Caenorhabditis elegans: one gene and its partners. The protein of the gene in region 1 purifies or fractionates together with the protein of each later gene. This does not show direct contact. Each region holds a gene or a part of one and is shown on either strand. Other genes may lie near its edges. The genes, in order: vars-1, pfkb-1.1 and fbxa-12.

The links.
Region 2: the proteins of vars-1 (region 1) and pfkb-1.1 fractionate together in Caenorhabditis elegans (co-fractionation; one large-scale study listed by BioGRID). This does not show direct contact.
Region 3: the proteins of vars-1 (region 1) and fbxa-12 fractionate together in Caenorhabditis elegans (co-fractionation; one large-scale study listed by BioGRID). This does not show direct contact.

What each region holds. Positions count from the first base shown.
Region 1 is NC_003283.11:8,028,012-8,039,007, reverse strand, and holds vars-1 (valine--tRNA ligase), read right to left. Parts: upstream 7,598-10,996; 5' UTR 7,553-7,597; coding exon 7,464-7,552; intron 7,422-7,463; coding exon 7,345-7,421; intron 7,299-7,344; coding exon 7,177-7,298; intron 7,132-7,176; coding exon 6,133-7,131; intron 5,948-6,132; coding exon 5,826-5,947; intron 5,781-5,825; coding exon 5,120-5,780; intron 5,020-5,119; coding exon 4,888-5,019; intron 4,840-4,887; coding exon 4,105-4,839; 3' UTR 3,983-4,104; downstream 1-3,982. Other genes in the region: ZC513.14 (T20D4.11-like domain-containing protein), read left to right, coding at 2,970-3,092, 3,142-3,234, 3,281-3,448, 3,493-3,684; algn-12 (Dol-P-Man:Man(7)GlcNAc(2)-PP-Dol alpha-1,6-mannosyltransferase), read right to left, coding at 547-1,025, 1,848-1,951, 1,998-2,375, 2,586-2,718, 3,759-3,896; CCCH-type zinc finger protein oma-2, read right to left, coding at 8,088-8,488, 8,534-8,750, 8,796-8,943, 8,988-9,209, 9,258-9,413, 9,462-9,499; F43H9.4 (Glycine N-acyltransferase-like protein), read right to left, coding at 10,291-10,453, 10,502-10,563, 10,611-10,719, 10,835-10,996.
Region 2 is NC_003279.8:5,126,345-5,136,766, reverse strand, and holds pfkb-1.1 (6-phosphofructo-2-kinase domain-containing protein), read right to left. Parts: upstream 5,248-10,422; 5' UTR 5,246-5,247; coding exon of another isoform or gene 5,228-5,245; coding exon 5,170-5,227; intron 4,864-5,169; coding exon 4,738-4,863; intron 4,684-4,737; coding exon 4,581-4,683; intron 4,525-4,580; coding exon 4,458-4,524; intron 4,401-4,457; coding exon 4,257-4,400; intron 4,209-4,256; coding exon 3,948-4,208; intron 3,441-3,947; coding exon 2,847-3,440; 3' UTR 2,662-2,846; downstream 1-2,661. Other genes in the region: Phosphatidylinositol-3,5-bisphosphate 3-phosphatase mtm-1, read right to left, coding at 6-490, 659-840, 886-1,056, 1,397-1,615, 1,671-1,777, 1,821-1,892, 1,961-2,000; Y110A7A.7 (Fungal lipase-type domain-containing protein), read right to left, coding at 5,720-5,849, 5,899-6,068, 6,231-6,542, 6,605-6,721, 6,779-6,988; prp-31 (U4/U6 small nuclear ribonucleoprotein Prp31), read right to left, coding at 7,233-8,426, 8,475-8,592, 8,641-8,753, 8,828-8,917; mat-1 (Cell division cycle protein 27 homolog), read left to right, coding at 9,580-9,751, 9,801-9,948, 10,001-10,261, 10,313-10,422.
Region 3 is NC_003281.10:2,215,474-2,225,850, forward strand, and holds fbxa-12 (F-box domain-containing protein), read left to right. Parts: upstream 1-4,234; 5' UTR 4,235-4,323; coding exon 4,324-4,376; intron 4,377-5,100; coding exon 5,101-5,716; intron 5,717-6,685; coding exon 6,686-6,892; 3' UTR 6,893-6,968; downstream 6,969-10,377. Other genes in the region: C39B5.14 (Fungal lipase-type domain-containing protein), read left to right, coding at 1,472-1,622; srd-65 (Serpentine Receptor, class D (Delta)), read right to left, coding at 7,010-7,197, 7,246-7,324, 7,367-7,645, 7,690-7,830, 7,884-7,980, 8,334-8,527; fbxa-38 (F-box domain-containing protein), read left to right, coding at 9,330-9,436, 10,169-10,377.

The DNA of each region.
Region 1 (10,996 bases):
TAATTAGGCAAGGATTATCTCAAGAAATGGAATGAGTACATTGGTGAGGGATACTTAATTACTATTCGATTTTACGATGATCAAGAATCTACACTTATAAGTGGGAGGAGGGGATTAGAATGGAAATTACAATAGGTTAAATGGTCACTTTCCAGTATAAATTTGCATACAAAAATACATTACACTTATCTATTAGAATCGAATTGATAAAAACGATTAATTTTTTAACGAACTCAAACTTGTCCCAAATTCCAAAATACCACAAAAATAGTAAGTTTGGTTAAGTTTGGAAAAAGTTTGATGATTTTGACGATTTTTGCTAATCTCTTCCTTTAAATAACCGCGCTTTCGTCTCTAAGCCCCGCCCATTCGCGGCACGGTTCTGTGGGCGGAGCTTAGAGAAAAAAGCGCGGTAATTCAAATTAGAAAATTAGCAAGAGTTGAAAAATCGCCAAAACCATCGGTTTTATTATTGTTTTTTCTCGTTTTTTTAGTGATAATTCTGAATTTGAGACTATTTTGAATTTTCTTTAAAAACAAACTTACGTCCAAGCATCATTGATATGTAGAAATCTATTAACTCCAGTTTGTGCACAGGCATTATCAATATACACTGTTACAGGTTTCTTTGCATCGAATCGATTTTGAAATTGTAGATAATTGAGTGCATCAAATCCTGGATAATTCTTTGAAGCAACAAGCAAGAACATTCCAGTGCATAGAACATTGGCGAGTAAATGAAGGATGACTCCGAAAAATAGAATCATACGGAAGAACGACTTATGTCTGTTAATGAGCATTCTAGCACAGAAAACTGCCGCTGAAAGGCAGAAGATTGGCAGAACGTAGATGATAAATCGGAGTTCTTTGTGTGGTAAGAAACTGTAGAGGAATATGAAGATGACACTTGGAAGTACAATTTGTGGAAGTCTGCGATCTACCAAAAGACCCAGAGGAACAAGCAATGTAGTGGTGAGTAGACATCGTGGAAGAGCAGAATAGAAATACCATAAGAATGGTTGCGTCTGGAAAAAAAGGGAAAATTACTTTGGTTTTGTTTTGGTGATTTTTGGACAAAGGTGTTTTTCAATTTTTGTGTTTTTTTTTGGAAAATAGGAAAATGAATATTTTTTGTATTTGCATTTTTTCGATTATCCTGAAGAAAAAAACAACTGTAATTTATTATCTTCTTAGAAGAAATTTTTTCTCATCAAAGTAGTACGGAAACAAAAAATTGTGAGAATACGTATTGCGCAAGATATTTGGCGCGAAAACTACAGTAATCCTTTAAATAACTGTTGGGTATCAACGTGTATTGACCCACGACGTGGCCAAGAAGATCGTACAACGTGAACTCTATGAACTAACTTATTTATTCCTTAGTTTAGTAATGTAATAAACTACTCGTCTTCTCTCCTCGTCTCGCCTTCGAATACACAACAATAACTACTGTAGAGCTTGTGCCGATTTACGGGCTCGATTTTTGAAATACATTTATTTTCGAATTTTAATTCATTTCTTTGTATAATTTTCTCATTTTTTCCTTAATTGCAATATTCTATCGATAAACAAATTATTTTAATCCGTTTCGAGAATCAAGGCCGTAAATCGACACGCGCTACAGTAGTCATTTAAAGAATTAATGTAGTTTTCGCTACAAGATATTTTCAAATATGTTGCTCTATACGCGTTCTCAGTATTTTGTGTTTCCGTAATAAACGAAAGTAGATAAAATTTTGTAATTGTTTGTTAATTTTGGAAACTTTTTTTTCGATTTTTCAATCATCTCTGATAAAACCGAAAAAAAATCAGAAAAATTTTCGGCGACTTCTTAACTGAAAACTTACACCATATTCATGGCTTCTGTTCTCAACGACATTGAAGAACATGACTTCTCCTTCTGGCCAAAGAGGTCGTCCCCAAAAATAGGAATCGATTGGAATGGAGACAGCTGAAATTAATTATATCATACTCAGACTTATTTCTTCGGTACTTACCTAGACACATTGCTGCAATTCGAACACCGATAGCTATTGCACCATCGAATCCGAATACTTTGAGACGTCCAGAAATCATGTATCCCAAGAAAATGGGGCCGTAAAGAAGGACAAGTTCACATCTGAACAGGATCACTGAAGCTGTAGCATATCTGACAGCACTTTCATATCTTCCTTCTAATAGCCTCTCGAATACAATCATTACAAGAATCAATGCAAATGTGTTTGGAAGTGGGCGTGACATGTAGAAAATATAATGAAATTGAGTGCACATAATCAATCGTAGATACATTGCAGTTTCTCTTCCAAATTTTCGATTAACGGATCGAGCAAAGTAGAGAAACGCCATCGCATTCATCAATCCAAGAGTTGCGCGGACTGAAAATAAGTAATTTTATAACTTTTTAAATTTTTATTGCTTTATTTTTTGGTTGATGCTAAAATAATTCCGGATTTTCCCAGACATGATTTCAAATTCGTAATTGAATATCTGTTTTCATTACTATTTCAGGAATTAAGCGTATGAAAATATGTTCTGATATGTGCAAGAGTATTTGATGTTACAATTAAAACTATCCAACGACTCACTAAGAAGTAGCTGCCACATTTTTGGAATTGCCCAGAATCTGAAGATAAATGACATCGGAGAAGATAGGATTGCAAGACTGATTGGACCAATGAATGTTCGTGGAACGACACCAGGGAACTGTGAGTGATCATACTGAAAACAGTTTTTTTGGAAAAATTGAACTCGAACTCAAACTTTGTTAAATATCGTTTGATACTTTCATTTTCATCGTCTAGTCATATCGTGATAGTTTATACTTTTATCAATTTTACCTCCTCTGTAGACGTCAATTATTCGTCAAATGCCAAAAGATCAGAGTTTTAAACGCATTCAATAACCTTGAATTCACTATTTAACCTATCAACCTATCAACCTATCGTTTGCTTGTCAATTCTCAACCTACCATGTTTGTAATTCTTCTCTTTTTATTTGCTCCAGTGGTTTTTTCTAATAATCTTGAAAAAGTTGCTCCGAAAAACGCTATTTGTGATGCAAAAGAATTCTTTAAAGTTTTTGGATGTATTCAGGTAAAGTTCCTAGCTAACAGATTTTTTAAAAGTTAAAGCATGCTTTCAGGGTCTTTCTGAACTTATATCAAGTGTCGATAATTACAATCTAAAATTGGTAGAGGATCGCGAGAATTTCACATCTTCTTGTAACGTAGTTTTGGTAGGAATCTATCTTTAAGATGTTGAACAACAACGATAATTTTAAGGAATGTTTTTCCACTGATTGCCTAAATGCTCATAATTTGAAACTATTCCTCGAAGCATTTTGTGGATATTCCACGTTTCTAGAAACTGGATTTCAAAAGTGCAAAGAAAAGATGGATGCTCGAAGTGAAACTCAATGTGAGAAATCGTTCAAAGCATTTTTTGAAAATGTTAGTAAAATTAAAAGTTTCGAGTAGGTTGATATTTTCTCTAGAACATGACTACTGAAATGAAATGTGATTTGATGAACAATTCTCTGGAATGCATAAAGTCAGAAGTTACTAAAGTTTGTGGAAAAGACGATGCAACGAATATCAGTCAATATCTTGCCAAAATGAATCAAGGATTATCGTGCGACAATGATAAAATGAAGAAGTCTGATAACATAACTAAAACTATATCTTAATTGTTGAAAACTGTTTTTCACTAATTATTGATTTTTGTTTTCGAATTAAAATTAAATTTTTGTGTAAAATTTACATTGCTAAGATTAGTAGGAAGATGAAACATCAAATCGTGAGTTGCTTGAACATTAAATGATTCTTCAACTTTTGTTCCTGGTGCCAGAATAATGTGAATGATAGTGACTATAATGACTATCCATTCCGTCCCTTCCATTCTGAAAACTTCGGTTTTTATCTGAACCAATTTTTGAAAAATATATTAATTGATGAAACCATGCTGGCTTTAACAACACTAGAATTGAATAATAAACTGAAATTTTATTTATTTATTAAAAAAACATTTCAAAAATTAACAGAAAAAAACAAAATACAAAGGAAAACAATTCTAACAATCTCACTAATATCTATGACTACAAATAAATCTAACTTTGATTCAAAATTAGCTGTTTAATCCGTTCAGCTTCTTCTTTTGCATTTTCGACGACTTTTCTTGCATTTTCAGCTTTCCGTTTTGTTTTTGTTACATTTGATGGTTTGGAATTAGGATTCTCACAAATTGCTTCATACGATGCAATTCTTGCTTGAAACTGTTCCTGACGGGTTTTTGTCTTTTCCAGTTGTCGTTTGAGACTCAAAATGAACATTTCTTTACAGTCAGCATCGATTCTCATCCACAATTTTGCATCATGTCCTGGAACTGGGCAAGCCATGTGATCTTTTTTGATATCTTCATCAACTTCTCTGCACACTTTTTGCAATTCAAAACCACAAGTTTGTGTGACTTCGTCGGCTAATATTCGAAGTTCCGAAGGTGATGTGTCAGTTGGCGCCATTTCTAAAATACCAGAAAAGGTAATTCGTTGTGGAAGTTGCAGTGTTTGACGAGTAGATCGAATAGCAGCCATCATTGCAGTAATCAATTTCATAGCTTCTTCCAGTTCTTCATTTCTATGGAAAATAAAAAGCGATGGCTTGACGACGTCAAAGAGGATACTTCCAGTTTCTCGTTTGAAAATCCGTTCATAAATATATTCACTAACAAATGGCATAAAAGCATTGAGTTGAACTAGAGTCGGTTGTAGAACTCTTTGAAGTATAGATCTTGCTTCTCGAATTCTAGCAATATCATTATTCCATAAAGCTTTTTTGGTGGACTCCTGAAATCATTGAAGATTTAATATTACGAGATAGGAAAATAGTTTTACCAGATAAATATCACAAATATCCGAAGTTATGAACTTATGAAGTGTAGACAGAGCTAAATGGAGGGAAAACTTGTTCATGTGAGCATCGACAGTGGAAACTGTAGTCGAAAGTCTAGCCATAATCCATTCGTCCTGAAAAATAAACGTTTTGTGTTTAGATATATTTTAGATAATTGAATGTAAAAATTAATAAAATTTAGAAACAACTGTTATCTTATTTTATACTACTCACCACAAGTCGATCTGAATCAACATCCTTGATGACTTCACACTTTTCAGCAAGCTGATCGTAATATGCAGCCAAATTCCAAATTTTATTACAGAAGTGAAGACCTTCAATTGCAGCATTTGAAACATCGATTGGAATATCTGTTGATAGAACATCATACTTCAAAAGTGCAAAACGAAGTGCATCTGGTCCACATCTGGAGATTCCATTTGGGAATCTTTTCGTTAGATCTTTAACAGCATTATCGATTTCTTCCTTTTCATGAGCACTTGATTTCACTCTTTCAATCATTTTTTCAAATGTGATACCATCCAAAACGTCCAATGGATCAATTACGTTTCCCAGCGATTTACTCATTTTTCGGCCTTCATTATCTCGAACCAATCCATGTAAGACTACTTTTCCAAATGGTGTCTCTCCAGATGATAATTTCATATTTAAAGCTATCATTCGTGCAACCCAAAATCCAGAAATATCCCATCCTGTCTCCATAACATTCAACGAAGGCGTCTGAATTGGGGCACCTTCGAGCCATCCATTTTTGACGAGTGGAACCAATGCAGAACTGAACCAAGTATCAAGAACATCCGGATCCTGTTGCATTTTGTCACCAAGTTCTCGTCGAGCTTCTTCTTCGTCTGTAGTTACCATCCATTTCGATTGACTGAAATTAATCGTATTACTTTTAGTGAACAAGTTATCTGCTTACCCAGGAACATTATATGCTGGAATTCGGTGTCCCCACCAAAGTTGCCGGCTTAAACACCATGGTTCTTGATTTTCAAACCAGTCAGCCAATCTGTGTGATTGATATTCCGGAAACACTTCAATCTGCAAAATCATTGTTGTGTTGGTTTTTTACGGTGGTGTACTAAAATCTGTGACTGCTTTTTAGACCTCAAACTTATGAAAAATTTTTAGAACGTTTCCTTACAAAATTCGGCGGTTTGGATTTAAGATTCTCAGTTTTTTTTCCACATCTTCAAACGAATCTTTTTTTGCTGTAAAAAGTGTACCTTTCCGGATTTTATGGCATCAGCTGATCTGGCGAACATATCTTTGCAATCCAAAAACCATTGTTCTGTGAGTCTCGGCTCAATAATATCTCCAGTTCTAGAACAAATATTAACTTGTGCACCTTCATGTTTCATAAGTCCGTTGTAGTTTCCCAATTCTGACAATTTTTGAATCACTTTTTCTCTGGCTTCAAATCGATCCATTCCATCAAAATCTTCACCAGAATTTGTCATTTTTCCCTCAGCATCAATACATGCAAACTCTTCGATTGTATTCTGTCCAGCATTCAATATCCAACGATTCCAAATTTCGTAATCAAGAGCATCATGGGATGGTGTGATTTTTACAGCTCCCGTTCCTTTTTCCACGGAAACTGCTGAATCAGTAATTACGAAAAGTTTCCTTCCCGGTGTTACTGGAGACCAAACATGTTTTCCGTGGAACTTTGAATATCTATCATCTTCTGGATGAACTGCTACGGCCACATCCGCGAACAAAGTTTCTGGGCGAGTTGTTCCAACTTCAATGAATTCAGATTCAGAATCTACCAGATTGTATCTAATTACATGCATTTGACCGAACTTCACTCTTCTCCGTGTTCCACTTGACGACGATAAATTGATGTAACCATCAGATGGAACATCAATTCGATTTACTTCTTGACTCGATAATGTAGATGATAGTGTTGGACACCAATGAACTAATCGTTTGCCACGTGTAATCAAATCTTCTTGCTCAAGAATGCAAAAAGCTTTTGTGACGGCTTCGGAAAATTTTGAATCGAGAGTATAATATGATTGAGTCCAGTCGAGAGAAGCTCCCATTCGAGTCAATTGCTGTCGAATTTCAGATGAGCATTTTTCACCCCACAAATGGCATTCTTTCACAAACTCTTCGCGTGTCATCTCAAGTCGTCGCTTTCCATTTTTTGCCAATATTTTTTCCACGACTACTTGTGTGGCGATTCCTGCGTGATCAAATCCAGGAATCCATTCGGCCTGAAAACATAAAAATAAGCATCTTAATTTTTCGTGAAATTTTACTTTATTTCCCTGATTTCTCTGGTGTCGACAAATAGCATCTTCCACTGCAACTGTTAGAGCATGTCCCAAATGCAGTTTACCAGTTACGTTTGGCGGGGGTAAAACCATACGAAATAGACTGCCTGAAAAATATTTTTTTGCCTAGAACTATTATCAAGGAAATCTGACCATTCTTTCGATAATTTGCAGCGGCAAACTCTGTTCTTTGTTCAAAATTTTGTGTTACCTCGTCGATGTTAAAGGAGCTGAAAAAATTAGTTATTTTATTTTCTTAGTTTATCGTTTACCTACTACTTTCACGTGTAATAATTGTCGGTGAGTAAGCACATTGCCTTCTTGAACGATGAAAAAGTGCTAATCGATTCAATTTACCCATTTATTTCACCTGAAACCACAAACAATAATTTAAAAGAAAGAATGCGCTCAATCTGTTGAAAAATTAACGCTCGTCTGGACGAAGCAAATGCGCCCTGTCGCGAAACTAATTGGAGGGAAGATTAAAAAATATTTTTTTGTCAAACGAAACATTTCAGAAATTATTTTGCAATTCTATAATTGAAAATCAGATATCTTCGTGAAAAAACGTTATTTCCAGATGGTCTTCAAAAACATTGATTGACATTCGATAAAGTTTATTGATTGTTAGTGTGGGGAGAGGATACGAGCAATTTATATTTGGAGGGAATTGAAAATACATGCAATGATATCCGATATAATAAAATGCAGCAAAATAATTCAAGTTTAGTTTCAGAGCCTGCGAGAGATGGGGGGAGCGAGCGTGCTTTCTATATGACAGGAACATTGAGCTTATTATATTTACAAATTGCGCGCGTTATTATAGTTAGTATGGGACATAAAAACGTATGGCAATTTGACAAAATGTATAAATAGATGGGGAAGGAGGTGGTTATTCACCACAATTCAAGGTGCTTGGCAATGTCCATGGCAAGTTGATCAAGTCCAGGAATTGGAAGAGTTGTCTCGTTTCCAATCATCGGATTGTTGATAGACTTCAGAAGAATAGACTGAGCAGACTCCGAGTTGGCTTGGCAGGCAGCATCTGCAGCAGCAGAAGCAGCTGTGAGTGGAGACGAATCACTATCTTGAGACGGAGTTGATCCAGAGGAAGAATATCCCGAAACTCCTCCCGGTGTTGATTGTTTTCCAAGCATAGAGTATTGCATGTTCCCGGCTGCTCCAATAAGCATAGACTCAAACGGACTGATTGGACGAGTTGCCATATTCAGACTATCCAATGCGAAGAAAGTTGATGGATCCAACGGCCAGCTTGATGGTGGGCGATTCCCGGCTTCTGTAAAATTATTTTGAATTAATCATCAATATTCAATTTTCATACCCTCAGTCTCAAGTGGCTTCTTCGATGGCAACTCGTATCGTGGTCCACGAATGCTAACTGGGGTTGGACCCAATGGCATATTTGCTGCTGGCTCATCTGGTGTGCATGGCCTTGCAAACATATCAAATTGTTGAGGGCCGGCTGTAGAACGACCTCCATTCATGATATGATGCTCCATTTGATCGCGAAGGTCGGCCAAAGCATGACGTTGCGAAACCTGTTGAAGATTTGATTAAAGTGGAAAATTAAAAAGTTATCTTACCTCGAACAATTTATCGGCTCGAATGTATGCATTTGGTCCATTGTCCGGATGAATGAAAAGACAGCGTTTTCCATATGGGCACAACCCAGTAGTAGTGTACTTATCGCAGAGCTTCGTCCGGTACTTATTGTTTTGACGTGCCTCGATCCTGTAAAATATGTTGTGTAATCTTAATTCAATGTTCAAACCAACAGAGATGGACGAAGCTCCTCTTCGCCGTGAGCAAAACGACAGTTCTCCGCGAAAGCACATGTCTTCGACTCCAACCAAGCCTGACATATGACAGTCTTGTACGATTCCGGTTTTTGCATTCGGTGACGGCGTCTTGGATCAGCATGATATTGCAGTGGGAGAATAGCTTCCTGTGGAAGATTTTGAAGAGCTCTCATTTGCATCGAATGAATATGCTCGTTTCTGAGAAGATAAAATTTAAGAAACAGTCCATTTATCCTATAGAATTACTCAGCAATCTCCTTGAGAAGCTGCTCCTTGACAGCCATCAGGTTAGCGGTCTCGGAAAGCAAATCGTCGATATGAGAAATCGGTTTTTGCTGTTCTTCCGGAACAGTCTCCATCATATCGGGATGCGATGGTTCAACACTCGACTCTGTACGAGCCCTTAAAAAAGAAAATTAAAATTGAGAAACTATGATAAAAGTGGCTCACTCATTATTCTGGATAACATTTTCCTTGAGCATATCCATTATTTCGTTAGTAGTGCAGGGGAAATGGGTGGTTAGTGATTAGGCGTGGGGTGCTCGGTTAATTGATTCCCTGAAATTTAAAGAAATTTTAAAAATGGTAAGATTCCGCGAGCAATGAATAACAACCGTCTAAAGAATGAAAGAAATAAGTTTTTAACGAGAAAAAACGAATGCGCCAAAACGGTATAAAATTATTGTTTTAAGCGACGTAATTCAGAAATAAGCTCTTTTAAAATTCAAATAAACGGGCCAAAATCCTTCTGAATGAAATAAATGAATGAACAGAACCAAATGTTGTTGAACAAAAGAAAACTGAAGAAAACCATCTCTGTCCCAAAATTTCGAAACAAAAAGTCAATGTTTGGCGGCAATGCGCGCTAAATAAGATCAAATAATTATTTTTTAATACTTAAGTTTAGAATTAAGTCTGAAATTTATGGTTGAATCAAAGTCAAAAAACTTGCAAGAAAATGTTGCCAATTTTCACCAATGACTACGGTCACACTCGTTTGAGATGTGCACTCCCCGCTGCTGCGCCTTTAAAGGTTACTGTAACTAATAATTTTTTTTTAGCAAGCATGGAAATTGTGTAATTGTCTGAAAAAGTAACTCATAAACAGCGAATAACTAGATTTTCTCGACTAAAAAATTTTCAACAACACTGTCTGACCAAAATCTAGCTGTAAAAGAACATTACTTTGCAAATATACTTGCTGGAAGGTATTCGAATTTTTATTCAATATTTACATGTATATTTGATTTATTGTAAGTTCATTGTATTCCTATTAAAATCACTTGTGCATTCCATAATTTGACGCCTGGGAATAAACATTTTGGTCGAAAACTAGCGGTGTTCCATTGGACTCAACAACATCCATCAACTTTGACTTTTTTGCTTTTTCCAAGAAGAAACTGTTTGTTGTGTCGATGAACTTGCATGGACGCATTCCATTTCTAAAATATTATCATTTTTCCACAGTCCTTTGTCAAAAAATCACTCACTCAATAGCCATTTTAGCAGCTCCAATCTCCAACTTCTCTCCAAGATTTTTACCACGATGCCCCTAAAAACAGATTTGAAAATATTCAATTTGAAAATAGTAAAACTCACATCAAAGACATGCAAATGAGCAAGTGCTCCGTGAGTTTCTGAAGAAATGAATCCAACAAGTTCGTCGCCTTTACGAACGCAGAGCGATGGGAACCGTCGAAGTTTTTCTCTGAAAAAAATTCCTATTTTTCCATGTAACTGTTGTTTTACGATTTCTCGATTTTGTGAGAAAATGATATAAATCTAGTACTGTTGGTTTTTAATTTCCTGATCCAAAAACTCACTCTACTAATTTTGCATTTGGTGTGATAGATGATCCTACAATCTTCATAACATCATTTGTTGATTCAGGTATATCAATTGAGTATCCATCAGGTAATGTTGTATCACCATAATTTCTATATTTGAAAATTTGACTTTCATTCATTGCAAAAAAGTGTGTTGAT
Region 2 (10,422 bases), on another chromosome or scaffold:
CGAACCGATTCTCTCTCCAAATTTATGACCAAAGCTACACCATTCCTTCTCAATCAAAACGATAAATCCTTCAATTGTACGGTAATAGGAGTCGAGTTGAATCATTGCCAACGACGTCAGCTGTGCAGTTCGATCCCAACCATCAGAACAATGAATCAATACTGATTGTTTTTCAGTGTCAACATTGAAGACAGCTTTTACTGCTCCTTCCAAAATGCTCTGAACATGATTGAGCCATTTCGATTCGTCTAACGCTTTGTAGTATCCCTTCTCGTCGACACGTGGAATCAGCGCGGCTAGCAATCGTTTTAATGAATCCCGAACAACGTGAATATTGTGAATATTGAGGAATGTTAGAGGAGCATTGACATAATTCTCTTCATAACCTCCACCTTTTGCCTTATTAAGTTTTGCATTGACTGCTGGTCTTGCATCAAGGATCAGAAGTTCACGACAATTAGCATTGGCATTCATAATGTTCGTGAGATGTCTGAAAAATATAATTTTTTGTTGAAAAATTGAATGCTTTAAAAAATATATCTTAATAAACGATTTTCCAAATATTTTTTTTCGTTTTTCTTTTGTGACATTTCAGCATATTAGAATATTAATATTCCGATTATTTTTTATTATCATTAAAAATAAAAATAAAACCTACCGCTCGTCCTCAGCACTTCTTTTTCCAGAAATTCCAGTCATTGGCTGTGAGCATCGTGAAATTGAAGCTAAAGTTGTCTGATTAATCCAACTCAACACGGGAATTCTTTCTTTGCTTCTAAACTCGCCGAGCTTCTTTACAAATGGTTTTCCTTCCTCCCAAGATACTGTCGGAATTACAAACTGAAATAAAATTATTTTTAAAAAAGAAAACCATCATTAACCTACAGTTCTTGGATAAGTTTCGCTAAATTTATAGTCTTTATTAATGTCCACTTCTTTCCAAAGACGTGAATTCGGGATTCCAAGGCGTTCATATTCTTTTTCAGCTGAATAAATTTTCCAACCATCTTTCATAAGTCTAGGTGTTTCTGCTGCATGTACAGAGGCGAACATTGGCTGAAAATTTCCTTTTTTGGTTGAATAATGTTGTTTTTCAAGTTAGGCTGTCTATTTCTTGGTTGTCAAGTAAGTTTTTAATAAATCATTGATTGTTTAAAATCTACACAATAAACTTTTTGCGTGCCGAGACCCATTTGAAGAAATCCGTGCGGCTTTCTAAGGCGAAAACTTGTGAAATTACGATACCGTGTTTTTTTAACTTTAATTTTTTTGCTAACCAATAAATGAATAATTAATTTTATTTTTTCGTAAATTAAAAAAAAATATCAGAATTTTTTTTCATTTCCAATAGTTCTAGAGCCAAAAGCCCCCTATTAAAATTAAAAAAAAAACTCACCAAATTATGCGATAGCGGAAAAGCGTATCTATTCAACGAATCGCAAACATTTTTTCTATCACTCGATGCTGGATTACATGTAAATCGATAAACTCGATAATCTTTACAATAAATTGTGAATCCATAATTATCATCGCCTCGTTTGGCAACACTCGTCGTCTTTCTACCAACTTTTTCTATCCGAGACACTTGTCCGAGTGGAATATCGAGCTTCCATTGCTGAAATTTTTTGTTTATATTTGTAAAATATAATTTTAAAATTTTAATCACAAACCTCATACATTTTTCCACCATCACCAACGAGAAAAACCATTCGATACCTAGTAATTACGATTTTACCTGGAAATTTTCCAAGTGGTCCGAAGTATGTCACATTTTTCTCTGTAATTCCTCACATTATAATTGTTAAAAAATCAATTCCAACCTGTCCAAATAAGACTTTCTGCGGCTAACAATTTGAGATCTATTGATTCTTGTATCATTGATGAACTGGCAACTGAAATGATAAAATAAATTGAATTCAAATAACGAAATTTCATAACGAAATAGTTCGTGATGACTCACATTCTCCAACTTCTCCACTATTGTTCCCTCTGTCATCCATTGATATTGACATTTCGATCAATTTTCCTGTAAATTGATTTTTGAAAGTGTATGAGAATGTTTGAAAGCCGAATAGTGGAACGATTATTGGGAAAGAGAGAGAGAGAGAGAGAAGAAGGCCACTAAGAGACGCAGGTATGTGCAGAAAATAAATACAACTTGCTTCAGCTTTGTTTTTATCGTAACTTCACAATATTTTGGCAATCCTTTTTAAAACCGCATGGATTTATTCAGATGTCGTTTTCTTTTCACTTTTCTGTCAGAATATGTTTAAAATCAGTTTTCAAAGTACAAATAAACTACTTCCATTAAAAATGTGGGATTTCCTGTGTTTTTTTCATACAATGGTTTTAAACAACGACAAAATTCCCTTAATAAATTGAAAAATGCAAGAAAAATAAACGAGGAAGCAGCCGCAAAAATTCAAACACAATTACCATAAACTTTTTTGCGCGTCGGGACCCATCTGAATAAATCTCTGCGCCTTTAAGGATTAATTTTTATATGAATTGATTTTTCTTTTAAAATAACAACAACTCAGTTACGCGTTCTTGTTTGGTTTTCTTTTAAATTTTTAATGTGGCTCCTGACCGTTTAATACATTAAAAATAGATTATTGTAGAAAATGACACAGCGAGAAATATTGCAATCAGTCCATAAAATTGAAATCGATGTAATCTTTATAACTCTCACATAAACGACAACGTATTTAAATTCAAAGGCAATTGTTCAAAAACAGGGAAAATGCAATCTCAAAAAAAACGCCCGACATAAAAATGGGAACTTGTATGAAAAAATAAATGTACATTTGGCATAGATAATTGGCTAGATAAAGAATAAATACTTCCTATTGTGGCTTCTCTCTGTAAGTATTGACTGCTTCGATGTCGAATTTGAAAAGTTCAATCTCACAGGAATAGGCTTTTGGTGTGAGCTTGATGACTGTATGCAATGGAACCTTCAGATATGGAAGATCATCTCGATTTTTGTTAGTAAAATAGGCAAGAATGCAACGGAGAACTGCTTGATGAGAAATGACAAGGACATTGGATTGTCTCTCAAGCTCCATGATAACTGGCTCCAGACGAGCAACCAGATCTTCATATGATTCCCCACTTGGATAACGGTAGTGATATTTATCCTTATCTCTTTCAGCGAATTGTTTCGGATAACGAGCCTCGAAATCTTCATAAGTTAATCCTTCACATATTCCGGCATCGATTTCATCAAGACATTTCCAGAACTCTGTATGACCAGCGAGATCTTTCAGATGAGAAGCTGTCTGGGCGGCACGAATCTTTTGAGATGACCAAACACGGAAATCGTCCAAATCTTCTTTTTCGAAGTATTCGCGAAGTTTTCCAGCGTAATTTAAACCATTTTCACTGAGTGGGGAATCACCACCAAGACGACCAATTCTGTTGTACTCACTTTCTCCATGCTGTAATAAATTTTTTAAAGGGATTTTTAAACTATAAAAGTTTAAAAATACTTGATAATTCTCAGTGCTGTTAATTGAATGAATTATATCCCAGAAACGGAATTTTGTGCCAAAAAAACCGGTGTCCGGTCTTGACACGACATTTTTGTTAAATGAAAAAAGGCATCACCTTTAAAGAATACTGTAATTTCAAACTCTCGTTGCTGCGGAATTTTCATTGATTTTCTTTTTTTTTCACGATTTGTTAAAATTCAAGTTTTTTTACGGGCTCTCTTAGCTTGTTTGGTAAAAAAATATTAATTTATCAAAAAGTGAAATAAAAAATAAAAACGTTTTTACAGCAAATCGTGAGAAAACTGAAACTCAATGAAAACTCGGCAGCAAAAAAAATGAAACTACAGTAGTTTGTAAAGACGCACACTTTTTGGCATTTAATAAAAATTTTCGCGTCGAGACCTGTTACCTATTTTTAGCGCAAAATTTTTTCGGTTTTTTTGTTAAACTTACTCTTGACAAATAAATACTTCTTGGAAGAAGATGAATATTCATCAGGAAATACACAACACGACTCTGCACATGACCATTAACATTGTGAACATAGAAGGATTTTCCGGCATTGATAACTTTGATATAGCTCAGCTCTTCATCATGATCCTCATCAAGTGGCTCATATTGCATTCGATAGTTCTCGATACGCTTCAAAAAGTCTTCTTTTGCTTCCTCTTGAGACATTATTCCTTTATAATCTGGCGAATTGATTTTCACTTCCTGAAAATATGCGGGTTAAGGTGATTATTTTGAAGATCTAAAGGTTACCGTGATATTCGAGTTGATAATATCAGGATCATCACAAACAGATTCCACAAAGAAGACACGGAATGGTGGCTCGTGCATCATATTTCTGCAAAACTCCATCAGAAGCTTTCGTCGGTCTCTTGTAGTATTTGTCGCGTCGAGAATCTGAATAAAAAGTTTATGTCTATATATTTTTTTGAAATTTTTTCCTTTGTAACTCACCGCCACTTCTCCTTCCTTGTTATCCAAGTACCTTCCCATATCTTCAATGGCTAATTTCGCGCACTCACTGAAAATTCAGGAATTTTTTTAATTTTTTTTCTTCATAGTTTCGTAAAATCTCACTCTCGGATCTTTTGACCTCTGGCGTTGTTTGGCGAGAAGAACTCATTTTCGCCTTCTTCTTCCAAATTACACGCTCTTCTTCTGTACTCGCCGACATTGAATGCTGTAATTTTGATTTTTTGTTTCATGTCGTACATATAATCGAATCAGGACCAACCTTTGGTCTTAATTCCAATCCAGTTGAGGTAACGACACAGTTTGTGTGAGATGTATGTTTTGCCACGTGCCGGCAGTCCGACAAGTGCGATGACGTTTGGAACTCGAACCTGCTCGTTTGAGTTGTCTGAAAATTGAGATTTTTGAGAAGACAATGTGGAATGAAAATAAAATAGGGCTAATCGATCAATTTTATGCACTTTTTCAACTCAAAATGCGTCCAAAACGGCTCAAAATTTCGAAAAAAAATGGGCTATTTGATTTTAGCTAAAATCTTCAATTTTGCCAAATTTTCCATGTCGAAACGGACGGAAATCAATTTTAATTGAAATTATGTGAAATAAACTATCTTTTTAAATTTCGCTCATTTGGGCACATTTCGAGTCTAAAAGAGCAAAAAAAAATGGTAAGTCCTCTTTTAAAGTAAACTGACCACTCTTCGGCACGAAATACGTCATTTTGCGCTGCGGTACGCCGGCTGGCCCAGGCATCTCGTTCTCCTGCAACATTTCTAGCCGAAATGATATCGTCTCTTATCAAAATGATTCCGAAGACAAAGGCTTATCATTTTAATCAAATATTAAGAAATCAATAATAATATTATTGCGCCGGAGAGAAAGAAAAACAGGCAATGATAGAGAGAAAGAAAGAAAGAAGGTTCGTGTTATGAATGGGAAGAAAGTAGACACAATCTTCCATAACAATAAAGTAGGAAACCGAAAACGAAAAGAAAAATAACCAACAATTCATTTTCTGTGTTCAACCATCCCTTTCTTTCTCTCTTCTCCTCCCTTGTTTCTTCTTACACTCGAGTTCGCGGGTGTCTTATCTTCTTTGGCGCCTCCTCTCTCTCTCCAATAAAAAGAAAGTCCTGAGAAAATATACGTGACACACGGAAGCGAGAATATTCTCTCAAACCGACTTTTCAACAGTTGAAACGACGAGAAAAAGAATCGCAATTCAATCAACATTTTTAAATTTATTTAAACATTTTCATTATTTATTAATGGTTCATCATCCGGTGGGTCTACACATCCATTAACACCGTAATCTGAGACGTGGTGTCCAAAGTAGAACAGGTGATCGTTGATGTCAAAGTAGCGATGAGTGTTGCTGTAAGAGAAGATTTTCTTATCACGTGATTTCGATCACTGTCACTTGCCTGCACAAATTGTCCTCGTTCAATGGAGTCCCGGTGCAAACTTTGAACGTATCTTGACTTGTCATGTTTCCAGGAAACCAGACTTCGACTCCATGGTGATAGGATCCATGATTGTAGAATGGTATACACCATCTGGCATAGCTTTCCACGCAGAACGGAATATGTGCAACCTAGAAAAAAAACTTTTAATAGTCTTTTGAAAGAGGATATTTTGAACCGCCAGAAAAAAATTTCGAACTTGTTTGAGAAGTTTCATTACGAAATTCGCTCATTTGGGTGCATTTTGAGCCTAATAAAGCATTAAAAAAATCTTAAATATTAGTCTCCCTCACAATATCTCTTCCATGAATCAGTCTCCAGCTTCCTCCAGCAACTAATTTGTCATGTGTCATGGCATATTCGAGATTTCCAACTCTAGGCTGTCCGAATGTGATTGAAAAGGTTCGACTCGACGTTTCGGGAAAGTTTCTAACGAAAACAGTCGATGCAATACTTGCAATAGCTCCGCCCAATGAGTGTCCTGTGAACACAATTTTATGATCTGGAAGTGAGTCTTTCAGTCCTCGCAGTAGTTTTTCCATTGGTGACCACATTGTTTTTAGAGCAGAGTAGAAGTAATAATGAACTGATCCAGCATTGTGCAACTGTAAAATAAGTTTTCTTTGCTCTGTGAGTACTCAGACAAACACTTGAAACATGAGCCTACTTTGTGCTTTGGCCGACCAATGCTTTCGATAAGTTCAGTTACCAGCTGCTCTTTCGATTTTGTTCCACTGAAACTGACGAATATTGTGTCGTTGTCGGCAGCAATCACACTCCAGCACTGGAAAAAATTAAATCAGATGATTTTTGAATATTTAAAGATCTCATGATCTTTTACCTCGTCACGCATATAATCGCACTCCACCTTTTTGAAAAACAATAAAGTCGCATTGTTTTTCGAGATGCAAGGTTCCGGATCGATGGAATACGCAGCCGCTGCGAATTCCAGAGTTCTCTTGCTCAATTCATAGTCAAAATCTCGATTTACTTTCTTGCAATCAGCTAGAAAGAAGAAAAGACATGAAAAAAGAGCGAACCCGTTTCGCATATGGGTCGAAATTCCGATCGAAAATCACTGAGACCTGGAGAGGAAAATTGGGAGGATTGAGAGTTGTTTACGAGGTGAAAAGTTGTTAGATTGGATAAGTGTAAAGATATATTTAAGAGGGGAGAAATTCCACCAATTGGTTAGTATTTAGTTGTTGAGTTTTATATAAATGAAAAAGTCGATTCATTTGGTTTGAGATTCAAGAATTCAGAATTCAGGAAGAGGAAAGTAACAAATAAATATATTATAAAGTCATCCGATCAATATTAACAAAACTTCCAGACGAGGAGAAATAGTTTGAAGTCGATGAACATTGTTGCTGTTCTTGTGCAGCTGGATTGATAATCTCTAGACCTTGAATTGGTGTGAACGTGACAGATGACGCAGTTCCCGCCATTTTGCTTCGAATACTTGTCATTCCTCCAGCTGCTTTCTGTCTCTCCATCTGCCGCATCATCTTTTGCGACATTCTTGCTCTGGTCTTCTGATCCACTGCGGCTGTTCGGATTCTTCCACCAGTCACATTTCCGGTCTTCACCTGCCCAATATCGAATCCCATGTGCTCTTGCATTACATCTTCTCCCAATTCTCCAAAGTTCATGCGATTGGCACTTTTCCGAAGATCCGTCATTCCGAGGCGTTCCTTCATCTTTCTTGTTCGACGTCCTCCACGTTTTTTACTTGCCTTATCCAAAGGTTTTGGAAGCGCTTTGTTAGCTTTCACTGGTGGTGGCTCCAACATTTTTTCAAATTTACTTTCCACCAACGCCAGAAATTCCGCGCCTTTTTCTCCGTTGGATGACTCGTGTTGAGCATCAATTCTAGCAACTAAAGTCACTTTTGCAGCTAAAATTTTGGCCGCTTTGTTTTTCAAATCTGGAGGCATCTTTTGAACCAACTGATGGAAATAGATAAAACCATGATGTGGATTTGTGGACACTGTTGAGAATCCAATCAAATTCTTTTTCGTTTTTCCGAGAACCTGTACATTACATGATGGCATTGTGGCTAGTGGAGACAATCCTCCGGCTTGTGAAACTAGATGGGCAGTAGTAGTTGAGCCGAGCAAAGCAACCAGATTCGGGGCAATCAGAGCCATTCGCCATTCTACAAGTTGGTGCATTTCGAGACGATTGACATGAAGTTGAGCAGCCAAATTACAAGCATCCATGACGGTTTCCAGCTCATTTGGCTCAAGCTTGACTCCTTGTGTTGTTGAGACTGTTACACTGACCACCATGCATGTTGAGGCATCTAGAATTCCGCCGAGTTGTTCTTTCACTACCTTGCTGTTGATCTCGTTTCCCAGTAACTGTACAGTAGCCAAATAGGTCAACGCGTTAGGAACAAGCGTTTCTAGTTCAGGAAAGCGCTTTTCATATTTATCACGAACAAATTTGTGAATCACATTGATCTCGTTGTCGATATCTGCAGCGACCTGAAATTAATCATTGCCTTTTTTGTTTCTTTTTCATGATGTACTTACGTGGGATAATTTAACAATAAGCTTGTATTGTGGATCTGCTTCAAGAGGAGCTGTCACCTTCACTTCATCCTGAGGCCGTTTCAGTTCAACTTCCAATTGTTTCACTAGTGCTAAATATCTGTAAAAGTATTTTAAAATTATATATTAAAACAAAACTAAAACTAACTCATCAGATCTGGCAAGCTTTGCTACATCGTGCACTGATGCATATTTAGTTGTATCCATCGGTTCTTCTGTTGCTTCTTCAATATCATCATCGAGTTCTTCCTTTTTGACGCCCTGAAAATTACAATTTTATCAGATGCTGCAAAAACTCTAGATTTTAAATAATTTAAATTTTAAATTCGATTTACCTTAAGGTTTTCTCCGAGATCTGGAATGTCTTCCAAATCCTCATCGTCGTCATCGTCAAAATCAGCCATAAGTTCTTCAGCCAACGACATTTTTAGGTAGTTTAAAGATTAACTGAAATTTTAGATTAAAATAGTATTTCAATTCTCTTAGTTAAAAGAAAAAATGAACAAGGCAAAAAGAAAAAAAGAAAAGAAAAAGAAAAAAAACAATTTCGAAAAACATTAGGATTGCGAAGTACGGTATGCGACTCCGCAAACACAAAAGCACGCAATGCACCTCATCTGACGACAATTGAAGACCGGCCGCCGCCGGCTGTAGTCGGGCGCAAAAGTTCACGTTGTACGCCGTTCCCCGTCTTTCTCGTTTCTCTTCATTGCTGCAGTTCGCTGGAAATGATCTACTCTTCAATTCGATGACATTTTCTCGGCAATCGATTCATACAACGTTCACATGCCTGCTGGCAAACTATTGCATTTTTTCCAAGCTTTGTTTGAAACCAATCGATAAAACTCAAATGATCCTCATTTAATGTGAACGCCTGATCAATTTTTCTTCGATTTCTTGGCACTTTTAGTTTTTAAAGTTTGAGTTCAATTGTCAGTATAATCGATACAATAACCTAAGGGATGTATTTGAGAAATGGTCAAATTGATTTTCGTTTCCCTTTTGTTCGCCGATATCTCTTTTCTTGAATATCACCGCTTTTCTCGATTTAATAGTTTATTTAGCGTTTCTTCAGGTCGCGAAGAGAATGAAAGAATCAGCTGCGTCTGTAGCTGTGCGGCCTCAATTGAGAGAGGTGTTCGAGCGTTTTCCAGCGGACGCACACCGAACAATTGAAGATGAGATTCATGAAATGATGAAGTGTTACGCTTTTGATGATGCTATTTTTCTAGCCGAGCTTCATTACGAAACCGATAAAAGTGGTTTTCGTTTTTAATTCATATTTTAATTTCAATAACTTTTTTTCAGGCAACAACTCCGAATCTCTTCTTCTATACGCTGATTGTCTGTATAGAGCCAATAAGAAAGAGGAATGTTATGGTCTCCTTAGTTCAGTTAAATTGAGCGGAGCTAGACTCTTCTATCTACTTGCAAGGGTATCCTACGATTTAAATAAGTTAGTTTGTAATATATATGTATATTTATTCATTATTTTAATTTTTCTTTAGAATCGATGACTGTAGAGGAGCTCTTTTCGAACATGACGATGGAGTGATACGGAAAGATATCCTGGAAGAGCCACGGGTTGCATCACATGCTAATTTGCTTCATGCTCAAATGCTTTGCGATGAAAGTTACATGGATCTGGCTTTAGAATCTTGTCAAAAGTCTCTGGATGAGAATATTTTGTTGTGGTCAGCTATCATAACTTATTTACGGTTTGGAGGTCATGATCTCGCCCATACTTTTGAAAAACATCACCGAAAATCGTAAGATTCTGAGAATGTTTAAATTTAAATATTATGCCGACATTTTTATAGAAATGGTCTATACCTGGATAGTCCAGCTTCGAGTTTGAAATCCGAAACACCATCACCAAATGTTCCTGGGCCGTCGTCTTCTTCAGCTGCCAGCACTGCTGAACCTTCCA
Region 3 (10,377 bases), on another chromosome or scaffold:
ACACCCATATCGACTAGGATCCGTCATCTTTGAAAAAGTTCCCCGACACAGCTGAAGTCATAGCTACAGTACCCATAGTGGCGGGACCCGAATTTTCAAAATGCGCGGAACATAGGCAATATAGGTGCCATTTAAAAGATGATAACATAAGAAATGTAAATTTTGTGATAAAAAATTTTTTTCTACAATTCTGCAAAAGTATGGTTTTTTGGGTCTTGCAACGAAAACTATTAAAAATCCGCTAAATCGAAAATTCAACAAAATTTCCAAGTTCAGCTCGTTGAGACCTCTCAAATAACACCCATATCGACTAGGATCCGTCATCTTTGAAAAAGTTCCCCGACACAGCTGAAGTCATAGCTACAGTACCCATAGTGGCGGGACCCGAATTTTCAAAATGCGCGGAACATAGGCAATATAGGTGCCATTTAAAAGATGATAACATAAGAAATGTAAATTTTGTGATAAAAAATTTTTTTCTACAATTCTGCAAAAGTATGGTTTTTTGGGTCTTGCAACGAAAACTATTAAAAATCCGCTAAATCGAAAATTCAATAAAATTTCCGAGTTCAGCTCGTTGAGACCTCTCAAATAACACCCATATCGACTAGGATCCGTCATCTTTGAAAAAGTTCCCCGACACAGCTGAAGTCATAGCTACAGTACCCATAGTGGCGGGACCCGAATTTTCAAAATGCGCGGAACATAGGCAATATAGGTGCCATTTAAAAGATGATAACATAAGAAATGTAAATTTTGTGATAAAAATTTTTTTTCTACAATTCTGCAAAAGTATGGTTTTTTGGGTCTTGCAACGAAAACTATTAAAAATCCGCTAAATCGAAAATTCAACAAAATTTCCAAGTTCAGCTCGTTGAGACCTTTCAAATAACACCCATATCGACTAGAATCCGTCATCTTTGAAAAAAATTCCCCGACACAGCTGAAGTCATAGCTACAGTACCCATCGTGGCGGGACCCGAATTTTCAAAATGTGCGGGACCTAGGCAATATAGGTGCCATTTAAAAGATGATAACATAAGAAATGTAAATTTTGTGATAAAAATTTTTTTCTAAAATTCTGCAAAAAAAATTTTTTTGGGTCTCGCAACGAAAAAAAAATTAAAATTCCGCCAAATTGTAATTTCAAGAAATTTTACGAGTTGAGCTCGTGTAGACCTTTCAAAAGACACTTATTTTGCCTAGGATCCGTCAATTTTGAAAATTTCGGTCCTCCGACACAGCTGAAGTCATAGCTACAGTACCCATCGTGGTGGGACCCAAATTTTTAAAATGCGCGGAACCTAGGCAATATGGGGGGTCATTTTAAAGGTTTTAACGCCCTGAGTTTGAATTCAGCAGTGAAAATTTAGGAATTTTGATTTTGAAAAAAAATTCCGAAAAAAATTTCGAATTTTTTTTGAAATTAAAAAAAAAACGATTTTAATCGTAAATTTTCTGTATTTTGCAGGTACAACAACAACATGACCACCACTGATCCATACCACATTTGTGCAGAAGCCGATGGCCTATACTGTAGTAATAGGCAACTGGATACCGATATTCCCGATCATTTGACATATTTCGGCGTATTTTTCCCAGATTGGCATTTTACATGTTAATTTATTGATTTTTAAATGTAAATTTATTCAATTTATTGTTGCAGAATTTTTGTTTCGAAAAACACAAGAAATTCCATTACAGATGTTTGAAAATAAAATAAAAAGGAATTAGCATTTTCTAATTTCAACCATCAAATGTGAAGCATTATTATAACGACGAAGTTTGAAATTAGCTCCACTGCTTGTAAACTCAATATCCATTTCATCACCAATAGTAAAATCTGGTTGAAACAATCTTGCAAATTCGATCAGATTTCCAGGGTCAAACCAAATAATGCAACGCCGGAAACTACTTCTTTTCAAGAGGTCCTGAAAGTTGCAACTTACTACATATATCTGTGGTGTATGATATATATGATGTGCCTATATATTTATGACTCCATATATATATATAGTATATATATATATATATATATATATATATATATATTTCTATATATATATATATTTATATAAATATATATATACAGATAATTTTTTCCACGGGAATTGACGGGAATTCAAATTTTCTGATAATGAGAAAAAAAACTATCACAGTTGCAACTTACATCTCGAATTTTAATTGCGTCTTCTTGTGGAAATTGAACAATCGTTGTACAGAACTCTTCGAAATGAAAGAAATGATCAATTGCTGTCAGGTAACAATTTGTAACACCATAATACGTGGATCGGAAGCTTTTTGCACATTTCCACTGATCCAGCAAAGTGATCCTTTCAAAATCAAGAACCTTGCCAATGAGCAAACAATTAATATCGTCCAGCACGTCCGCTTCAAAACACGGCAATATTGAAAGAATTTCGTTGAATGTTAGGTATAGAAGATTTATTTTCTTCACGTGAACGCTTCCTCCGTTCTCCAAAACATTCACAAGAGATTTGAGAACCTCGTTTTTATTTCTTGTAAAGTTTTGCAGAACAAATGAAGATGCATGGTTCATTGCTATTTTCAGGTCCTTGAATGCCAACTCCATGAAATCTTTTTCTTGGATAATAGTCTTCCGTCCTTTGTAGATCACAGCTGAATCAGTGTATTCCAGTTCAATCTTATCAAACCGTATTGAAAGGGTTTCGCTCATAACGTCCAGCTTGATGGTGTCAAAACGGATTCCAAGCTTGTCAAGGGCGGCTCTCAAGCTTCGACAGACTTTACGGCAGGTTAGTCTGGAATTTAAATAGTTTTTGATTTAACACTGCAAGTAAAGTTTTAAGTCTAAGCCTACCATTTTAGCTCCGCCTATTTTTCAGCCAATTAACGTTTAGCTCCGCCTATTTCTCAGCCAATCAACGTTTAACTCCGCCTATTTTTCAGCGAATCAACGTTTAGCTCCGCCTATTCCTCAGCCAATCGACGTCTCAGCCAATCAACGTTTTGCTCCGCCTATTTTTCAGCGAATCAACGTTTAGCTCCGCCTATTCCTCAGCCAATCGACGTCTCAGCCAATCAGCAATTAGCTCTGCCTATTTCTCAGCCAATTAACGTTTATCTCCGCCTATTTCTCAGCCAATCAACGTTTAAATCCGCCTATATCTCAGCCAATCAACGTTTAACTCCGCCTATTTTTCAGCGAATCAACGTTTAGCTCCGCCTATTCCTCAGCCAATCGACGTTTAGCTCCGCCTATTTCTCAGCCAATCAGCAATTAGCTCTGCCTATTTCTCAGCCAATTAACGTTTATCTCCGCCTATTTCTCAGCCAATCAACGTTTAAATCCGCCTATATCTCAGCCAATCAACGTTTAACTCCGCCTATTTTTCAGCGAATCAACGTTTAGCTCCGCCTATTCCTCAGCCAATCGACGTTTAGCTCCGCCTATTTCTCAGCCAATCAGCAATTAGCTCTGCCTATTTCTCAGCCAATTAACGTTTATCTCCGCCTATTTCTCAGCCAATCAACGTTTAGATCCGCCTATATCTCAGCCAATCAACGTTTAGCTCCGCCTATTTCTCAGCCAATCAACGTTTAGCTCCGCCTATTTCTCAGCCAATCAACGTTTATCTCCGCCTATTTCTCAGCCAATCAACGTTTAGATCCGCCTATATCTCAGCCAATCAACGTTTAGCTCCGCCTATTTCTCAGCCAATCAACGTTTAGCTCCGCCTATTTCTCAGCCAATCAACGTTTAGCTCCGCCCACTTTTCAACCAATCAGCATTTAGCTGCACCCAATTCTTAACCATTCAGCGGAGGAAAGCAGCCCCTTCTGATTGGCCAGAAGTTGCTCAACATCATAGTTTTTTTCGTAGTTTTTAAGAGTTTCGAGATTATTCTGTATATTTTGAAATTTGAAAATGAAAAATTCGCATTGCTGTTAAAATGCAAAAAAACTTACCGTTCAATGGGCTCCAGCTTTTCAAAACATGATTGGCAATTTCCAACGGCAATTCTAGTAAAGTAGGCATTTTCGAAAGTTTCTTTTTTCAAGTAAAAACCTGAAGTTTTCAGTGTAAAATTTGAAGAAATTGGGAAGTTTCGAGTAAAATGAAATTATACCAATGTGTGACTGTTATCAGTTTAAATATTTTTTCGGGAAAAACGGATGGAGTCATACTTTTTTTACGGAGGAAATGTTTAAATACCATGCGTCATTGGAGTTTGTATAATAGAGAGAGTGAATAGACGTTTTTGGTTCATTTTTACGTTTGAATTTACATATAACTCCAGTAAAATGTCCAAGTTATCGCCAACTTTGCTCACTATCAGTATGCCTTTGGAAATTTCTGATGAAATTTTGTCAAAATTGCCTGCAATGGATCTGTAAGTTGAAGTTATAATTTCACAAATTTTTCCAAATGAAAGTCAAACTTTATGCTAAAAAATTTGAATTTCCCGCCAAAATGTTCAAAAAACATTTAATTTGAATTTCGCGCCACAAATTTTTAAAAATGTTGATATTAACGGTGCGTCAAAATTTATTTGTTCAATAACAAAATTAAATTTTATGCCAAAATTGTTTGGAATATTAAAATGTTTTAAAAATTTTAAATTTATTTTTGTACCCAAATTTTTTAAATATTGATTTTGGCGCCAAAATTTTTATTCTTTAAAAAATTGAATTTCGTGCCAAAAATGTTTGAAAAATTAAAATTTGAATATATATTTTTTTAAGATTAAAAACGTTTTTTTTTTTGAGAAATTTAAATTTGAATTTGGCGCCAAAATGTTTAAAAAATTAAAATTTGAATTTTCCGCCAAATAATTTTAAAAAATTGAATTTGAATTCAAATTCAAAATTTTGGAAAATTTTAAAATTGAATTTGGTTCCTAATTTTTTTATGATAAAAATTTGAAATGTGCTCCAAAATATTTTAAAAAGTTCAATTTGAATTTTCTGCCAAATATTGTTGGGAAATTAAAATTTGAATTCCGTGCCAAAAATTTAAGTTTTTTTCATGATTATATCTGATCTTTTCGGTACCAAATAAGTGTTTCCAGCTCAAAGGAGTCTTAAAATCTTTTTAGTAAAAATGCAATGTTCCAGACTATCCTGCCGTAAAGTGTGCAAAAGTCTGAGAAGCGCCGTTGACCAATCAGGAAACCATCTCAACAGAATCTCATTTGACATTTGTAATGATTTCGTTGCGATGGACTTAAACGGAAGTCAAATCAAATATACCGATGTTTCTGGTACTGCATACGTGACTTACAAAGGACGAGAAACAAAAATCGAAGAAGACAATTTCATGCGAGCAGCGTTCAACGACTTGGCGAGCGTATTGAAAAACGTGAAGAAGTTCGTTTTTCAGAACTATTCGAAAGTAAAACAACAAGCCATCACATCGTCGATAAATGATATGTTGGAAAATAAATGTATAGCCGTAGAGTCAGTAGTACTATACAACTTCCCACATGATGATATTTTGAACATCATTTCGAGTTGTCAAGCTGAAGTGCTCAAAGATATTGTATTATGGCACCGCGACGGAGTCGAGTTATCTGAAAGAATCACTTGTCTGGACCAATGGAAAAAAGCACGAACTTTGCATTGTCGGTTTTTGTTTTGTGATCTAGTACCAATTGAGCACTTTTTTCACTTTGAAGAGTTCAGTATTCAAATTGACAATCTCTCAATGCCAAATGCGATTAAAATTCGAGATGTGAGTTTTTCTGATTTTCACATGTATGTGGTATATAGTAGTAGTAGTAGTAGTAGTAATCAAGGGTGTCGGTTTTTCGTTTTTCGGTTTTTTGAAAATCGAAAAATCGAAAAATTTCGTTTTTCGTTTTTTCGATTTTTCGATTTTTTTTTTTTTTTTCAGAAATTAGCTTCATATTTTAGCCATTATTCTTCTTTTTAGAAGAAATGTGTATGTTTTATTATAAATTCAAGCAAAATTAGATTTAAAAAATCATATTTTAAGGATAATTTTCCGAAAATCTTTTTCGATTTTTCGATTTTCCAGAGAATCGAAAAATCGAAAAATTTTCGATTTTTCGGTTTCTGAAAATCGAAAAATCGAAAATTTTCGTTTTTCGATTTTCAATTTTTCGATTTTTCGATTTTTCGATTTTCACTGAAAAAAATTAAAAAATCGAAAAAATCGAAAAATCTAAAAATCGAAAAATGACACCCTTGGTAGTAATAGTGTGTAGTAGTATATAATTTGTATGTAGTATGTATGTATGTAGCATGTATTTATGTAGTATGTAGCATGTATATATGTAGTATGTAGTATGTAGTATGTATGTATCTAGTATGTAGTATTAGTAGCAGTAGTAGTAGTAGTATATAGTATGTATGTAACATGTATGTATGCAACATGTATGTATGTAGTATGTATGTATATAGTATGTATGTATGAAGTAGTGGTGTGTATGTATGCATGAATAACCTAATGAAATTTCTCGAAACCTTCTGAAAAAAGTTGCGGTGGTTTAAAAAATTACCGAAATTTGAAATTTGACCGACTTGTCAAGCACTAACTTTTATGAAATTACCATATAGCTATCTTAAGTTTTAACTTGATTTAGATACATTTAAAGTCGACGGATCACCAGATTTCGTAAATTTAAGTAAACCGAAATCAAGTCAAGACATCTTACTTGTATACCCAAATTTTTTTCAGGACCTCATGAACAAAACTACATTCAAGACCTGCACTATTTCAACTCACCATAATGTGCAATCAATTGAACTTGCAAGAATATTTCAACCGGACTATATGGGCGACATTGACTATAACATCAAATATTCTAATAACACTGGCACCTTCGAAATTTCTTTCAAATCATCACTTACTATTAGAGCACGGTTTGTTATTAAAAAATGCTGACAACAAAGGGATCTTGTTTCTATATTTTCCAAACGACCAAAATTATTCATATGTGCATTAAAAAAGTTTAATAAAAAACATGCTTCATTTTTGAAAAAAAAGCCCATTAATAATTTTTCAAGCAACACTGTTCACTGCTGAAACTCTTGTAGCCCAACTACCATCAGCAGACGGCTTCCGCACGAAGAAAGCCCGAACAGCGTTCCTGTACGGTGTAATGAAGTAAATTTGAAAAATTGGATCCAAGAAGCAAGGAAGTGCTCCTAGACAGGTTATTGTGTACTGAGAGATCAGGAATTGATGGCCTAAAGGTGATATATACAAATTATATTGGTTTGATAAGCTTCCCTTACCAGTGACTTGAATCAGAATAAATAAAAACACTACGGGGATATAACTAAGCATCGGCAGAAAGATTTGAAAGTTCAGGCCCTGGAAACCAAATTAAGCTATATAACAAAAGCTTACGCCTACAATAATCATTTTCCGAAACATAACACGTGTAGCGTCCGATGTGTTTGGGGATACATGAGGTTTAAGAAGCTTCATCGCCTGATGCTTCCAGTAGCTGCCGATCATTGGAAAATACAACGTGACAAGGAACATAGCCACTGTAGAATTATCGAGATAAACTTTTTGAGCTTGGCTGAACCCTCCAAAATTCAGATACGGAGTGTAGTCATACTCAGGGTAATGGGCTAGCGTTTCATTGTAGACTGCCAGATGGTCGGAGGGAGGAATCAAGGTAGAAGTCTGTAATAATATGGATTGGCTAGCTTTGTACGACGTCTAGCTACCAGATAGGCTATTATGAACAGGTAATGCCAAGAAAAAATCAAGGTGTTACGGCCAATTTCCTGGGCGTTGATCAACTTCAGACATACGGTGCGATAGTAGAGAGTGTGCAAGTTGATCAAGTTCACTGTTAGTACAGAAGTCTGGAAATTTGGAGGACAAGAGGGCCTACAGGGCTTGAAAGAGGATATCTCACCGCATATGCTTTATAGCACGTCGCACAAAACGTTGGCCCGAGAAACTTACAAAACCCATCACACAGCAACCCCATGGAATTCTCATTATCAATATTTCTTTAAAAAATTTAACTTAAAGGTGGAGTAGCGCCAGTGGGGAAATTGTGAAAAACCACTTATTTGATCCCAAAATGACCAAATATCATGATAAAACTTTTCAAAAAATTTTTGAAATTTTTTTATTTACTGTCAAAAAGTGGCAATTACTCAGTTTTTGCCACTCATAATTTTGGAAGTCGAGAAAATTTTGGCAATTTGCAATTTGACCGGAAATTATGAAAAATCTAAAATTTTTTGGAGTGTTTTATGATGATATTCGGTTGTTTTGGATCATTATAAGTGCATTTAGACAAAATCCCCACTGGCACTACTCCACCTTTAAAACCGCACAATCTCAGATTCTCGCAAACCTCGTTTGTGTTCCAAACGCCAATGTTAAAGAAACAAATGTAGCCGTACATGAAGCGTAGAGAAAATATCTCATGGCTTTTAAGACGTTGGTGGTAAAGTTGTAGATCAAAATGTACATGGTTGAAAACAGGCATAAGCTGAGTAGGTAGAACGGTGGCCAGTAGAAGCGGAACAAGTATTGGAGAATGTCCATTTCCAAAAAGTTGGGTTATGAGAATTTGAGCTGGAGATGATTTTTAAAGAGAAGCGAACCGAAAAACCGCATGCATCAGCAACCACGAACTCAAGTTTTTGCTAATGAAAACGATTCTTGATTTTTCGGGCGTTTGATCTTCGAAGTCATGTGTTGATTACAAACTTTTAAAGAAAAAATGGGTTATGGATTTAAATCAGCTACAGGAATTTTAAACATATTATATTTTCTGAAATTTAAAGATGGAGTAGCGCCACTGGGAAAATTATTAAAAACCACTCCTTTGGTCCTAAAATGACCAAATATCAAAAGCTCGTATTTTTCAAAATTTTGGCAATTTGCCAAAAACTTTGACCGGAAACTATGAAAAATCTAAAATTTTTTGGAGTGTTTTATTATGATATTCGGTTGTTTTGGATCACTATAAGTGCATTTAGACAAAATCCCCATTGGCGCTACTCCACCTTTAAAGGAAAAGTTTTTGATATTTTTTCAGCAAAATTATTGGTTTTTTCTTTGAGATGTAACAGTTTCCAAGTGAAAAAACACCAAGTTTACTTCAATTTTTCAAGTTCCCAGCCAAAAATCATAGATTTTAAATAGGTTTTTGATATGGAAAACATACCAATTTACTGATTTCCTGTTCTTATCACTCACATTCCTTATCAATCAATTCTAAGATTGTCCGCCGTGATTTCGAACCGTAAGTCAATATCTTCTTTTTTATTTCAATTACCCATTTTGTTGTACATTTCCCGTCTTAACTTTTATACCCCCAGTATTAAATACTTTATTTTCCAATATGTCTCTTCCCGGCCAAGATGCTCAATGTGCAAAAGGGGTTTCCTTGCTCAATCTGCCTCTGGATGTTGTGAATCAAGTTTTGGAAAAGTTGGAGCCCATGGAGTTGTGAGTTACTTATTTTTAAAAAATTGCGAAGTTTTCAAATTTTCTGAGAAAAATATTTTGGCTTGAAATTTATAGGAAAACAATTGATTTGGCGGGGAATTCGAATTTTTCGCAAAGAAAAAAATTTGGCGGGAAATTCAAATTTAGCGATAAGAAATTTTTGCCAGGAAATTTACATTTTCTGATAATAAATTTTGGCATTAAATTTGAAATTTATGAAAAATATTTCGGTTGGAAATTTAAATTTTACTATGAAAAAGTTCTAGGGAAACCAAATTTTTCTAAAAAAATTTTTTTAAACTTAAATTTTATGAAAAGGAATTTTGACGGGAAAATCAAATTTTGAAAGAAAAACAGTTTGGCGGGAAATTCAAACTTTCTGAGCAAAATTTTTGGCAGGAGATTAAAATTTTCTGACAAATAATTTTGGCAATTTTGGCAGGAGATTCAAATTTTCTGAGTAAAAAATTTGGCGGGAACTCAAATTTTCTGACAAATAATTTTGGCGATAAATTTGAATTTTCTGAAAATATTTCGGTTGGAAATTTAAATTTTACTTTAAAAAAATTCTGGGGGAATTTCAATTTTTCTGAGAAAATAATTTTGCGAGAAATTTGTTTTTTCGGTAAATTCAAACTTTCTGAGAATTTTTTTTGAACCTAGTGTTGAGAACTGTTAGTTTTCCTACTAAAAATATAACCAAAATCTAAAATAAATGGGCTTTTTTTCCAGACTGACAGCTCGAAAAGTATGTAGAAGTTTAAGGACATCCGTCGATAAATTCGGACTTCATTTTAATAAAATTAGTATATACATATATGATGATAGCATTTCTATATTTTTGGACGGAATCGGAGTCACTTATTCGGATGCAAGGAATGGCAGCTCAACTGTGACCTACAATGCACAAAAAACGCTCGTTGATGGAGTAAACTTCATGG